Saccharomyces cerevisiae S288C: one gene and its partner. The protein of the gene in region 2 purifies or fractionates together with the protein of the main gene of each other region. This does not show direct contact. Each region holds a gene or a part of one and is shown on either strand. Other genes may lie near its edges.

Region 1 (7,938 bases), on a different chromosome or scaffold from region 2:
GGTGTTTGATCAGCTAAACGGCTGCTCTCATGGTTGTATTCATTGTCACCTCCTACAACTATGGTTTGCGGTTGTATATCTAGATCCTTATTAGCGGAAGAAAATTTGTCTAATACAAGTTCAGCGTCTAACTTGTTCTCACCGCCCAAGGTGTTATTCTGGGGCATGGGTGATTTGAAAGATTCAATCTCACTGTTTTCCTCTGTTCCCTTATCTACTCGCCCCTCTTCAACATCCGATTTTTCATCCTCCCATTCATCATCATTATTTTCGATAATTTCAACATCAGCTTCACCCCTGTTTTGATCTATATTGACTGTACCATCTTCTTTGTTCTCAGTGCAGGAGTCCTTTGCCTTTTCATTTCCAGCGGAATTTGCGACAAATGAATTATAGGAGTCACCAATAGCAATGGCGGTGTGAGTTATCTGCTCTTTCGCTATAAAAGGTTGAGTAACCGATAGCTGGGATGGGTCATCCGTACTCTTATTCGCTTCATTCTCAGTGGGAATATGGACCTGTGCGGTTTTGTGCTCTTCAACCTGAGCTGAATCTCCTGGGTTACTATCCGCTCCATCATTGCCACTAAAAAGAGCCGTTTCTGCCACCTTTACAGCGTCGACCACACCCGTATCCTTGACATTATCTTCGACAGCTTCGTCCTCCGCAGGTTCAACTAATTGTAAATTTTCGTCAATCATCTGGTTCATCTGGTTGATATCTATCTCTATTTGAGAAAGCCTCTTCTTTATCTTGTCCTGGTCCAAGCCCATCGTTTCTGTTGTTCTATTTCACACTAACATAGCATCACCATAACAGTAAATCAAATTACAAAACTATTAATGATTTTTGTTTATTATGAAGTTTGAATTTTCAGCGCAATATTTATTTCATAACGCGTCTAAAATGGTCTGGGTTCTGGGCATCTCTAAAGCCCTTCACTACTAGTGAAGAAGAAGAACAAGTAAGGCTTTTGGAAAAGAAAGAGCATCAAATTGAACGATAGGAGAAGTGCTACATACATTTGCCAAAGATCCGCATGGATAGAGTACGCTCTTTGATTGGAAATCGCCGGGGACGCCGACATAATCGCCAACATCCTCCGTATCCTCACAGTGGGTCTCCATCCACCGTCAATCTCTTGGGAGCTAATGGTTATGGAGACGACCAATCTACAATATTTGCACGAGAAAATGAATCTCTGGAAACCTCTGCCAACGAGGGCGATGATAGTGCGGATGCAGCTACTTTGAATACAGCGGTATCAGAAGGCTCAACAATTGGAGACCTACAAAGACAGGGTTATGTTAACAGAGCCCCAAGATTCACGTCAGAAAGAGCCATGCCATTCGTTTCGGTGCTACTACAACGAGGGTTTTTTGCATTCCCCAGTGAAGAATCTCTCCAGCTATTTTTACACAACAAGAGGAAGCTCGATAACATTGATCCAAAGAGGGGTCTAGGACTTCCCCTATTTCACGCCATTTCTTTAAACCTGGTCAAGTCGCTTTTCAGTGATCAAAATACACCGGTAATGAGGATATATAAATACGTTATGATAGACTCCCAATGCGATAAACCTCCATTAAACTCAGAAGTGGTCTCTCGAATAAACGAAAATGTCTCCATATATAAATATGAATTCTGCACTATTCTAAAAAAAATGGAAAGCCATAATTTTTCGAGCAGGGTAGAGCACGATTTTATATTTCATAGAAAAGATGAACCTGATGTTCATATCCCCATGATTAATTACAATCAAAGGAAAAATGCGGATACGGCAATTCATGGATTAAATCTTCGTTGGTACGGGACAACTAGTTTAGCTTCACCTTTTGGCTCAAATAGCATCAACCTACTTGTACTCGATGATACGATGGCATCCTACATGAACCAACAAACTATTGAAGAGTTTGATTCTTACAGCCGTTCCCGTCCCACAAGACCGCTGGGTTATCTCCCAGTATGGGCCAGATACACAGATGATAAAGTTAGTGTCATACCGAAAAAAAGAACTTTGAGAGTAGCTACCTTGTACTTACAAGAAACTGATTCGTTTGATGATGGCTCTAGTTTAACATCTACCAATTATACTGAAATGGGCTCTAATATCATTGAAAATGTGCCGTGGGATAGTCAGATACTTACTTGCATGTGCATGCTATTACATGAATATGAATCAAGAAAGGAGAAACGCCACACCGCATGGGGCAGCTCGACCACATATATGCTAAATGGACCGGCAGGATTACTGATGTAAACCCATTTGCATTTACTTGTGTTTTTTCCTGTTACTATTTAGTCATAATACCGCTAAGAAGCATATAAATATTCAAAGAGAAATATTGTCGTACACCATTAATTTTTCAATAACTCTTAAATACGTTTAGAATGTCACAAGTTTTCCTCACAAGTTTTCCTCTATTATGTAATGTTCCCTATACTACTTTATTCCTACAGTAATAATGTTGACTATCTATTCCTTTTCCTACTATCTTGTTCATCTCTTGGTGGATTCGGCATACGATTGTAACCAAACGTACGATTATACCACTTTATCATGTTACGTGGTGGTTCACCAAACACCATGTAGTACTCGCAAAATAAACACATGGGACTTGATTCGTTAACTAGGACAGAGAAATCTGGAACACGGTTTTCCGTTCTGGAAATATATTCAAAATCATGATAATAGTAGTTTCGTAGTTTGGATAAGTTTTCATAATGATGATGCGGGCAACAACTTTTATGGTCTCTAGATTCGTCATAAAAGTCATGTCGCCTTACATGCCCATTCTTTTTCGAGTTCTTTGACCTGCTGTGCTTTCTAGAAGATATGGAATGTTGACCGTCTCCATGCAAACGAGCTGCGTCAACGGTATCATGATCGATATCTGTGACTTCTTCTGCAACATCTAAATCCTCTACATTTGTTACAGTTCGCAACCCCCCCTGTTCTTCACTTCCAAACCCTCCCGGTAACACCGATTCTATCATTTGAGAAATCTTTTCCCCTATACCATCCGGTGTATCCAGTTCTTGGCTCTCATAATCGAAAATTATTTCGGCTTCTTCGCCATCCAAGTTAAGTTCTGAGTCTTTAAGATCATCATCTAAAATATTTTGCAAGTCCTCCTCTATTATGAAGTCTGCACTATTTCTAGAAGCTATTTGGCCTATTTTACTTTCAAAGGTTTCCTTTTCCTCTGCGGAATCAATGTGGTATGCACTTTGGCCATCTATTTTCGCAAGTTCATCTTCCAAACTCAACGAGTCCATCTTAGGAAGAGCATCTTTGAGCTCTTCTAACCGTGCATTTGATAAAGCTTTTCCTCCATTTCTTATAACGAATTGCATTGCATGAGGAGCGTTTTGAAAAGCTTGTCTGTCTTGAAGCTGATTGGAAAGAATTTTAGTCAGCGCTTTCACACCTTCTTGCATCATAACGTTTATTGGCATAGGTCCATCCTCTGAAAGTACCTCCACAGATGCATTAGTCGTTCCACTAGATTGGTTTGTAGGTGTCATTTTCTTGATGATATGGCATGAAAATAGAAGAGAAGAGAATATGATTAAAGCTATAAATTCGTCGTAAGAAGCACGATATCAGTAAATATGGATAACAAATTACCAAATATTTAGCAAAGAAATTCCTATTCAGGGTATATGCAAAAAGTGCAATCTGTAGTTCTTGCTGTAGCTCTCGCTTATTTTGCCATTCTCATCGTCCAGATCATCTCAACTTTCTTGTCCCATCGCTAAAACATTCACTCGCGCGAGAGTATGTAGTATATCATAGAATACGTAAGACTGGAAATGCTTGAAAACTGTGCTATTTCATCTCATATTCAAGTGAATATACATACATACATACATATATTTATATATATTTTCAACTAGTGAAAACTATCTATATTAGTCTATGATTCATATAAACCCTAAAAAACCTTAATTCTTTTTCAAAGTACGTTGTTTTTCGGCATTTTCGACAACTTTTTCTTCAATGAATAGACCTTTCCTTCTTCTGATGGCATTCATATGCTTACGGGCAATATTCTCTCTATCTGCTGTATCACCTAGTTCCTCCAATTCTTCTTCTGTGGTTGGGACCCAAAATGGATCTAAATCGATACACTCGAATCCGGAAAATACCAATTGAGGTTGTGCTGCACCAGATGTTCGTTTACGAATATCTTCACTTAAACCGAATGCTTCCACAACGGGCACATGTGCCTCAATTTGAAAAAACGGTGTACCTTCTTTCATTTCTTCAGAAATGATTTTACCATGCCTCTGTAGAATAACGGCATACACTTTTCCAAGTACATCGACAGAGGTTTGAATATCACATGAGTAAATTGCCCACATAATTCTTGGGGACCAGTCTAAAAAGGCCTCATGTATAGCGTCCCTTGTAGAAGTTATCAACCTCCCTGATAAGTCCACAATATGTTGTTGGTAGCGCGGATCTTCAATAGATTCAATTTCGTCTTGTGACATCTTATGTACGCTTTCAACAAGAACACACATTCCCTGTACGGGCTCATTTGCCAGAGGTCCTTCGCTAACAGCCAGTTGGAAGCCATTTTTGATGGAATCTGAATACTCAAAGGCTGCTGGAGTACCTTCAAATAGGCTTCCAAGAAGATTATCCTGCGACAGCAAAATGTTGCACCCAACTCTACTTGGCCCAAAACCTGCTAACTTTACTTTAAACCCACTTAATAGTTCTCTGCTCTTCTCCTCCTGATTTATGACCTCTTCAAAAGCAACGAGTAAAGACTTTTTGTCTAGAAAAGAACTTCCAGTTGATTCTATGACGGGATCCATGCTTGAAGTGGACGTCTTCAAAATGTTTTTAATGCTATTTTGATGTTGAGATAAAAAGTCTGTAACTTTACCGCTTAATGGGAACGTTCTGAATGTAATCTTGTACTGGCTCAATAGTAGTTCATGAACACCCCTTCCCAGCTGTGAATTCTGCGGTGGATTCATATCTGAGGCTGATAAAAATGTTTCCCTATATGGAATAGCCGGTTCAGAATGTGTAATTTCTATTCCTGCAAATCTCTCTGTTAAATCTTTTAGGCATCTTTCTAAATGTAATTCACCGGCCGTACACAGAATGTGTTCACCAGTATTTTCAACGTATGTGTGCACGCAAGGATCTGCTTGATCCAACAACTTTAATCCTCGTACCAACTTGCTCATTTCCACAGGATTGGCTGGCTCCACAGCAACACGAACGATTGGCGTAAAATGGAAATTGACGCCCGCTAGATTGACGCCTTGTACGCCCTTCTCTATCAACGTACCACTCTTTAAAACTTTACCGGCCAGACCACGAATACCGACTATATTTCCTGATGGACAAACGTCCAAAGGAACCAATTCCTTACCCATAAACAAATATAAATGCGTAATAATCGCAGTTTCAATATGCTCCTCTGGACATTTTGGATCATATTTTGGACCCAATACCGAAATCTCCTGACCAACTCTTAGTGTGCCACTGTATATTCTTGCAAATGCTACCAAGCATTCTTCCTTTTCGTCAAAAATATCATCTACTTCATCGTTCACATCCTCTGAAATTTGCTTAATACTCTCCAAAAGTGGATCTTCTTCCTCATATTCAAACATTGAACTTAGAGGGTCATTTGGATCTATGTCAGTTGGTACAAAATCTAGGCCGAAGTTATCTTGACTATCTGAATCATCCTCCCCCTCATATTCAAATTCTAAATCCAAGGCGGAAGAAGGCTCTGAAACAACACAGAAAACATCATTATTTCTTGAAGGTTTTGGCTTTGTCTGTTCTCCTACTTCGGGGGTCATAACGGTATCTTTTGCTCTTTTATATAAATCTGATGTATTTTTAGAATTGTCATTCAAATCCATCATTGCCATATTTTCTACCATACCAGCATGTTTTGCAGCATTAAGTGCTTCCTCACGTGCCTTTCTACTTCTCTCCATCAGCTCATCCGAAGATGCTATCCTCTTAGATTCAACAGGTAATTCTTCTCTAGGAATTGAAAGCATCTTAGATACGTATGCACTAACTGGTCCTTCTTTATCACATGTCTTCATGGCTTTCAGAAGTCTTGGATCCATGGCTGCTGTGTCGGATTCGGAGACCAAAATAGTGTTCAAACGATCGGTTTGTGATTCCAAAGGTGAAGGTAATTTTTCAATAACTGTTAACAATACTGCTGTGCTGACGGGTAGCCATTGACCCATGATAGTTCTTAACAATTGTTTATCGTCCTTCGACCTTAGATCACGTGCAAGTAGCTTAATATTTAAAGTTTTTGCTATTTTTTCGACCATTTCAGAATCTCTCGATGTGATTATGTTTTGATAAATTTTCCATATATTTTCGAGGATTAGCGATGTGAAAAGGGGTTTCAGGGATCTTCCCTTAAGGCCTTTATTGTTAATAATTTTTTTTGTCTTGGGATCCATATAGAAATCACCCCATAAAACTTTCTGTAGGTTTTCCCTTTTAGCGCCTAATTTTTGTTCGTAAAATTTGGCCAATTGACCGATGTTGAAACCCCAACCATCAATTGCGGAAGCAAAAATAACGTTGTTATCAGTAGGGTTAAAGTAAATACCCGAATCATCCTTTTCAATATATTCCGCGTTTTCGTTCTTTTCTAATTGCTCCCTCCAAAATAAATCATCCAATTGTCTCTCGTTTGCGAAAAAGGACCCGATAACTGAGTTGACTTGTTCAATGACTTTGGACAAGTGAATATAAGCTTCTTGGGGAGTTAGTTGTAGTTCTGTGATCAATCTATCAATCTTATTCAATACTAAAATGGGCTTCAGCTTCTCCGTCCAACATTGTCTCAACACTGTGACGGTTTGCGAGCATACCCCCTCTACGACATCAACCAGTACGACAGCACCATCACATAGTCTTGAAGCTGCACTGACCTCACTTGAAAAATCAATGTGACCTGGGGAATCAATTAAGTTTACTAGATGCTCGCTTACAAGAGGCTCATCGGAACCTTCTTGTTTACGCAATACCCTAAAATATAAAGAGATAGCCGATGATTCCATTGTGATACCACGTAGTTGTTCGTCAGGCCTGGCATCTAAGAATCGAATTTTGCCGGCAAGCCTTTGTGATATAATACCATTCGAAGCCAAAAGAGAATCTGAAAGTGAAGTTTTACCGTGATCAACATGAGCAACAATACATATATTTCTTATACAGGAAGGGTCATTTTGCAGACGTTTGTAAGTCTCCGATTCCACTCTAGGCATATTTGCTTATCGTGCTTAGAAAAATAACTGAGTTTGGTTATTTTATAAACTATTTTGATAATCTTGATGATGTACAAAGATTGTATTTCGGGTGCACCTATCTATCAATATTCTTGGCTCTTAAGTTCCCATTTTTCAAAATTTCTTTTCTCGTAGGAAAAAGAAAAAGGAAGCGATGAGCTGAAAATTCCACTTTACAATATATCGAATATCCAGTATACCAAAACTACATACAAACGAACACGTCATTAAAAGATGTCTGATAAGCCCGACTCCCAAGTATTTTGTCCAAATTGCAATGAAAGACTTCAAAAGTGTTTAGTACAGCAAAATTATGCCATTATAATATGTCCCAGCTTAGTCTGCGGCTACCCATTCAATCAAAGAGAAGTACTCGAAAATCTAACGTATGTAGACGATAATGACGTCTTAAAAGTTGCAAAAAAAAGATTATCTTCACGAAGCAAACCATAAAATAGTTGCACTATTGCTGTTCATTATCTTTCATTATCCCTAGTAACGCCATTGCAGAGTCAAATATGAGCGATAACAATATAAAGAGCAATAACATGATAGTTGAAATTAACATAAAAGAAGCGACATAATTAAAGGTCTCAAAGAGTGAAGATCAAGTATCCGGTTTTTACGAATAATCTA
Region 2 (7,948 bases):
CAAGAGCTTTTAACTACTAACGCCATCTTAAAGGGTGAACTAGAAACTCACACTAAACTTACTGAAACACGCAGTGAAAGGATAAAATCTTTGGAAAGTTCTGTCAAAGAGCTTTCTCTTAATAAATCTGCAATCCCATCTCCTAGAAGAGGGTCTATGAGCTCGTCATCAGGAAATACTATGTTGCATATCGAGGAGGGTTCTGAAATATCAAATAGCCCTTGGTCAGCCAATACTTCCTCAAAACCTTTAGTATGGGGCGCGAGAAAGGTTTCTTCTAGCAGTATAGCAACCACTGGATCACAGGAGTCTTTTGTGGCAAGACCGTTCAAGAAGGGATTAAACCTCCATTCGATAAAAGTCACTTCGAGTACTCCAAAAAGTCCCTCTTCTGGAAGCTGACTATAATTAAGTTCGATAATTGTACGATACAACTGTGTAGTATCTTTGTAATTATAATCATGATGATAACGCTAATAATTTGTACGTATAATGCTGACTGAAAGATGTACTTTTCTTCTACCGTTTTTCTTCGGCGGCTATTCGTTTACAATGATTTGGAAAAATGAGAAAAATTGAAAATAAAAAATTCTGCTCGATGAGATGAGATGAGGTTATGATATATATGTAAGAATTCCTCAAGAAGAGGTTGCAAGAGTCTGCAGACATTATCATGGCAGCAAATAGCAATAGTAGAGTTGCATCAAACCATACTTCTAAAAAACAAAAGGTTAGGAGGAATATACATCCATTCACGAATAACACTCGGATTAAAAGAGCTAGTAAAATCGTAAAGTTTAATGATTCAGGCGAGGGCGACCATGTTTCAGACCAACGTTCGAACAAGGAAAATGTCCTTACTTATAAATCTTTGAAAAGTCGGGCAAGCGATTTACTCAAAATGAGAGAAACACTTCCCGTTTACCAACACAAGCGAGAAATAATGTCATATATTGAAAGCAATCCCGTTACCGTCCTTATTGGTGAAACAGGTTCTGGTAAATCAACACAAATTCCGCAATTCGTATTAGAAAAATTATATGATACGAAGAAGCATGGGTCGATTGCTGTAACTCAACCCCGTCGTGTTGCGGCCATCAATTTGGCTACACGTGTTGCTCAAGAACATGGTTGCAAACTGGGTGAACAAGTAGGTTATTCTGTCAGATTTGACAATACGACTACTACAAGAACAAGACTTAAGTATCTGACTGACGGTATGTTACTTAGAGAACTTATGATGAATAGTGACCTTAGAGAATACAGCGTCATCGTTATCGATGAAGCGCATGAAAGAACTGTGCTTACAGATTTGATATTGGGGTTCTTAAAATCCTTGATACAAGGGCCAAGACCTGATTTGAGAATAATTGTTATGTCTGCAACATTGCAAGCCGAAAAATTTAGTGAGTTCTTCAATAATGCCCCAATCTTATTTGTAGAAGGAAGAAAATTTGATGTCAAACAATACTACTTGAAGGCGCCAACAGATGATATAGTAGACGCTGTCATCAGGTGTTGTATACAAATAAACCAAGGTGAAGAACTGGGAGATATCTTATGTTTTTTACCGGGCCAAGAAGAGATTGACAAAGCAGTGACTATAATGGAGAAAATTGCAAAGTATGTTTCAGATGAGGCCCCAGTACCATTAATAGTTCCTTATCCTTTATATGCAGCTCTTCCCGCGGTCCAACAGTCCTTGGTCTTCGCTCCGATAAAGGGTTTCAAGAGAAAAGTCGTCTTTAGTACCAATATTGCAGAAACATCTGTTACCATATCCGGTGTTAAATTTGTCGTTGATTCTGGTCTTCGAAAAGTCAAAGTTTGGAGACATCAGCTGGGATTAGCCACTCTACTTACCGTACCCATTTCTCAGGCAAGTGCGATGCAGAGAAGTGGTCGTGCTGGTAGAGAAAGTGAAGGAAAGAGTTTCAGGCTTTATTGTGAGTCTGATTATGTGAAATTACCTAAACAAAGTGAACCTGAAATAGCCAGAAGTGACGTCACATCTCCTGTGTTAATGTTGAAGAGATATGGTGTTGATGACCTGCTAAACTGGACCTGGTTTGAGAACCCTGGAAAGGAAGCTATAGTAATGGGGCTTCAGGAACTTTATGAATTGGGTGCTCTTGACACTCGTGGAAAGATAACTAAACGGGGTCAACAAATGGCTCTGTTACCGCTACAACCGCATTTAAGTAGTGTCTTAATTAAAGCCAGTGAAGTCGGATGTTTGAGTCAGGTCATTGATATCGTCTCTTGCCTTAGTGTGGAAAATTTACTGTTGAATCCGTCACCAGAAGAAAGAGATGAGGTGAACGAGCGTCGTTTGTCCTTATGCAACGCTGGTAAAAGGTATGGTGACCTTATCATGCTGAAAGAGCTTTTTGATATCTATTTCTACGAACTAGGGAAAAGTCAAGATGCAAGCTCTGAAAGAAATGATTGGTGTAAAGGATTGTGTATTTCGATACGTGGGTTTAAAAATGTAATTCGTGTCAGAGACCAGTTAAGAGTTTATTGTAAGCGTTTGTTTTCTTCAATCAGTGAAGAGGATGAAGAATCCAAAAAGATTGGTGAAGATGGCGAGCTAATTTCGAAAATTTTAAAGTGTTTCTTAACTGGGTTTATCAAGAATACAGCTATAGGGATGCCAGACAGGTCTTATAGAACTGTTTCCACTGGAGAGCCGATAAGCATTCATCCATCATCTATGCTATTTATGAATAAAAGCTGCCCCGGTATAATGTACACGGAGTATGTCTTTACTACGAAGGGATATGCCAGAAATGTTAGTAGGATTGAACTTTCATGGTTACAAGAAGTTGTCACTAATGCAGCCGCTGTAGCAAAGCAAAAAGTTTCTGATTCAAAATAAGTCACCTACTCTTAGCGCATTTTTATTGTATATAAAGGCATTTAATGTAATTTATAGAGCATTATAAATCGTAACAACTACTGCAGTATGAGTTTCATGGATTCATTTCTCAATATCTTATGAATATACACAGGTATATATGTATATTCATGTTAAACGCCTTTCGAATTGTTCGTTGGCTTTTTTTGTGAAATTATCTCGGGAAAAGGGCGAAATTATATTATTTTGCCGTTGACATTTTGAAAAGGAATAAAAGATCATGAAAAAAATAAGAAAGGCAATTCGACGCATTTCTCTCAGCAAGCTATTCTTTACTTTTGAAGAACAAAATATTTTAGCAAAAAGGTTAAGACAATATAGTCGGAAGCAGTTCTGCGGGATCTGAAGGAATTGCGGAATAATGAGATTTCACGATAGTATACTTATCTTCTTTTCTTTGGCATCGCTTTATCAACATGTTCATGGTGCAAGACAAGTCGTTCGTCCAAAGGAGAAAATGACTACTTCAGAAGAAGTTAAACCTTGGTTACGTACGGTTTATGGAAGTCAAAAAGAATTAGTCACTCCTACGGTCATTGCCGGTGTCACTTTTTCTGAAAAACCAGAAGAAACACCAAATCCATTGAAACCTTGGGTATCTTTAGAGCATGATGGTAGGCCAAAAACCATTAAACCAGAAATCAACAAAGGTCGAACCAAGAAGGGAAGACCTGATTACTCAACTTACTTCAAAACGGTAAGTTCCCACACATATTCTTATGAAGAATTGAAGGCTCACAATATGGGCCCTAATGAAGTTTTTGTAGAAGAAGAGTATATTGATGAAGATGACACCTACGTCTCCCTGAATCCTATTGTCAGATGTACTCCTAATCTTTACTTCAATAAAGGTCTAGCAAAGGATATCCGCAGTGAGCCATTTTGTACCCCTTATGAGAATTCTAGATGGAAGGTTGACAAGACTTACTTCGTTACTTGGTATACAAGATTTTTTACAGATGAGAATTCCGGTAAAGTTGCTGATAAGGTTCGTGTTCATTTGTCCTATGTTAAAGAAAACCCCGTAGAGAAGGGCAATTATAAAAGAGATATCCCTGCAACTTTTTTCTCTTCCGAATGGATTGATAATGACAACGGTCTAATGCCGGTTGAGGTCAGAGATGAATGGCTGCAGGACCAATTTGATCGTAGGATCGTTGTATCAGTTCAGCCAATATACATATCAGATGAAGATTTCGATCCACTACAATACGGTATTTTATTATACATCACTAAGGGTTCAAAAGTGTTTAAGCCTACTAAGGAGCAACTGGCTTTAGACGATGCAGGTATAACAAATGATCAGTGGTATTATGTTGCATTATCTATCCCTACTGTCGTGGTGGTATTTTTCGTCTTCATGTACTTTTTCTTATATGTCAACGGGAAAAACAGAGATTTCACAGATGTTACTAGAAAAGCTTTAAACAAGAAACGCCGTGTTTTGGGTAAGTTCTCGGAGATGAAGAAATTCAAAAACATGAAAAATCACAAGTACACCGAATTGCCATCTTATAAGAAAACCAGTAAACAAAATTAGATTCCCTTCGAAGTATGCATTCACCCTTCCTCGAGAGGGCTGTTTTTATCTTCCGTCACACTAATAGAAAACCACTCTATCCAGTTTTTTTTGTTACTTAACTTATCTTAACTCGATATTGTATAAATACTGAAGTCCATATACTTCTTTTTTTCTCCTTTGGATAGTAAATACGGTAAATTAAAATTAGTGTAAACTGAACAATATTAACATATATAAATCATCTGTACGACAATTTGATACCAAATAAATAGAGAATGCATCAGCATCCTCCAGGGTTCAAAAGAAAACGCTGGATCTTGCTTCTTTTCCTTTGATTTCTCCTTATATCCATTTCTGTCTTGCAGCAACTTCACATATTTTTTCCAGTGTAATGACCCTTGGATCAGGCTTAAAATGACGCTCAACCACATTATCATCTCCTTCCACATTCCTGCTAAGTAAGCTTTCTTCGTCGCCCTCGCTATTGTCCACATTATCTTCATCTTCATCATCATCTCCGCCGACGTCTTCAATGTAGTAGAAAAAGGGTTCCAACACCAACATAATTTTCCAGAAGTTGTTCGTGCCACAATTAGCAAACAAGACATCTACAAGGGCAGGTAGGTATTCCAATTCAATGTACTCCTCTGCGCAACAAACAAATTCATCTAATTCGTAATCTTGCTCATCAGCAGATAATGTAGAATACATTTCTGATAACAACGTTAATTCTTTGCTAATTGTTTTTGGAATATCTTCTCGAGCTTGCCATAACAGCTTTTGCGCTCTTTCCAGTCTTTCTTGGCTAACGGCATCATCCTTGCTCTCTTTTTCGCCTTTATCACCTTGGACATTTTCGGAGTCTTGTAGAGAAGGCAAGAATCCGTTCTTTTCGCTTTTGACCATAAGCTCATTGTATTCGTTATAGAGGGAGATAATTTTCATCATAGGCTTGTATAATTGCTGACAGACTTTCATTTCCGAGTAAGGTACAATGACTTTTTCCAAATAGTGATTGATCAGTCCTTCCATGAAGTTTGCCCAAATTGACGAAAATACATAATCCTCGTCGTAAGTCGATTCCGTAAAATCTTGGTTGATGTTATGCTGTATGATTTGCTCTGTAAGAGTTGGGAAAAGGTTTTTATGGCTTTTGACCATTTCATCTCTCAAAGCAGTAGATCCAGCGCTATCTGCTCCTTTAGTAGAATTTTCCAAACTATTATCTGTTGAAGACGCCTCTGAGTTCTTTTCACCATCTGTCTTATCTAGCCAGTATTCCGGACCACCCTTTTCAGACAATGTCACCAATAAAAGGAAGAGTTTTACTTTAACCCACGGGTTTAGCGAGTTTACATAGGCGTCCGTAATTTTGCTAACATCGATATTTATTTTTCTATGGATGCATTTGATAAATTTTTCAATGTAATGTGATTTTTTCAATCCGTATTTTTCATTCAGATATCCAACCGAAGTGATTACGTCGTAATTTGTATTTTCCATGTTCGTATGCTTCAAAAAGTTGAATGTTAACTTTCGTCTATTTCCATAATGTCTTTCTCTTTTCTCCTCACCTTTCTTCTTTCTTCTAATCTTTTTTTCTTTTGAAGCACCCAATTTAAGACATCTTTTACAGGTACAGTCCTTTAACGATGGCTCGTTGGCCGCTTGCTTGGGCAATAAATCTTTAGCCATCTTCTTTGGCGCGCTATACTAGGCTTGATTTATAATGTTAGTTATTCCAAAAATGTGAAGGAAATTGATCAAGGCAAGCTCTAATGATGATTATTGACCCATGCAACAAAAAAAGTTTGAATTCTCTTAATTTTCCAGATCGCAAGTTAGTAGTCAATCTGCTAACTTTCGTTATATTTCAAAAAAGTAATTGTACAAAAAAAGTCACCAAAAACGAGGACTTTTTTCACTGCGTTAAAGATTAGATCTACATAATGAATACTCAATTCTTTACTTAATTTCGCTCTACAAAATAGACCATTTAGGAAAGTTGGGTTGCTTCCATCATGTCAAAGTCGTCCTCATCTATATAAGTACACAGAACAGTGCGATCGTTGAATTGCGTACCCGGCAATTCTTCCATTGCGTGTTTTGCTGCCTCCAAGGTCTTGAACTTGATATAAATATTACCGGCTCCGGAAGCCAAGTTTTCAAAATTAAGTCTGTAATCGACGCCGGGTTGGCATATTTTAATCGTATCTGCTCCCGCGATACTATACTTTAATGTTTCTTTAATTTCTGTGATAAAGGTTTCATCTTTCAAATCCAATGGATCAAGACAATTTAAGAGCAACAAAACTCTCGATTCAACACGAACAGATTGGGTAACCAGATTTGGCAGGCTTTGAAACGTAATCCATGAAGTAACTTGTGATATCTTTCCATCATTTGGCTTGAACCATTTGTATGGTTTTAATTTATCAAGAATATCCTGAGTGACGACTTCAAACGATAATAGAATACATTTAGTGAATTCGGATTCTTTGCCAGTGTTGTTTGTATTGGACGAACATTTGTAAAAAAGTGGCTTAGCGGTACCGTTTGTTACATTCAATGACGAAAAAAGCTCTTTCATTCTATAATCTTCACCCTCGCCTATATTTTCCAAATTTTCCAATGCAATTACCGTACCCCTGCAAAAATCGACCAGATGATCAAGTTGTTGAACATAATCATTAGGTCTTCTCCATTTTAAGTCGAAAGTACCAAGCTTCGCATTAAAGAATGATCGACAGGCCAAAACCATAGTGCTACAGATCTGAGAACTAAACTCAACAATAATATGGTCCGGCCTTCCTTCACCAATATAAAAGTTGGAAATTTTAAAGTCCTCCGCATTACTCTCAGTTTTCTGGAGACCTGAAATAAAATTTTCCAGCAAATCTTTCAATCTTGCTACAATGCTGGGGTCGCTGCTTTGAGACAAGCCCGAAATTACAAGCCTTGAATTTGCCTTGGATGAGGCCATGTTGTAGTAAGCCGGAGAATCGAATGATGAACCCGGGTACATTACATTTTGGGAATTATAGTTCATGTCATATTTATTAGTTTGCAACTGCCTTTTATCACGGTCGCCATTGAATTTAGAACCTTCGTTCTTCCTTTGGTAATTGAAACGATCGTAGTTTCCGTTTCCATTTCTTCCCCTTCTATCGAACCTTTCATTTCTTCCTCTTCTTTCATCCCGTTGCCTATTATAGGGATTGTTGTTCCATTGGGGCCCAGTATTGTGACTACTATACCGATTCTCCCTGTTATATGATCTTCCCGATGCATCCCGATAACTTTGACGATGAGGACCTGCCCTTGTTTGTTCATAAGTCGTTCGATTCGTGCTCATAGTAATTATTGACGATGGTCCTCTGTTATTAGAATGTGAAACGTTTCTACTTTTTGGCGCTTTCGGAAGCTCACCGTCACTTTTTTGCCTCTTAAAATGTGTATCTATAACTGCATTATCCGTGTTGAATCTTTTGTTCTCAATCGGCACA

What was found. The genes of interacting proteins can lie anywhere in the genome.
Region 1: the proteins of AAN1 (region 2) and IBD2 purify together in Saccharomyces cerevisiae (affinity purification with mass spectrometry, with the first as the bait; 2 studies listed by BioGRID). This does not show direct contact.

Annotation. Positions count from the first base shown.
Region 1 is NC_001146.8:322,793-330,730, forward strand, and holds IBD2 (Ibd2p), read right to left. Parts: upstream 3,529-7,938; coding exon 2,473-3,528; downstream 1-2,472. Other genes in the region: BNI5 (Bni5p), read right to left, coding at 1-773; YNL165W (uncharacterized protein), read left to right, coding at 1,040-2,260; GTPase RIA1, read right to left, coding at 3,949-7,281; YNL162W-A (uncharacterized protein), read left to right, coding at 7,537-7,755. UniProt on the Saccharomyces cerevisiae protein: Part of a checkpoint which monitors spindle integrity and prevents premature exit from mitosis. This cell-cycle arrest depends upon inhibition of the G-protein TEM1 by the BFA1/BUB2 complex.
Region 2 is NC_001143.9:288,172-296,119, forward strand, and holds AAN1 (Aan1p), read right to left. Parts: upstream 6,138-7,948; coding exon 4,785-6,137; downstream 1-4,784. Other genes in the region: SMY1 (Smy1p), read left to right, coding at 1-402; DHR2 (RNA helicase), read left to right, coding at 674-2,881; PSG1 (Psg1p), read left to right, coding at 3,282-4,460; MUD2 (Mud2p), read right to left, coding at 6,439-7,948.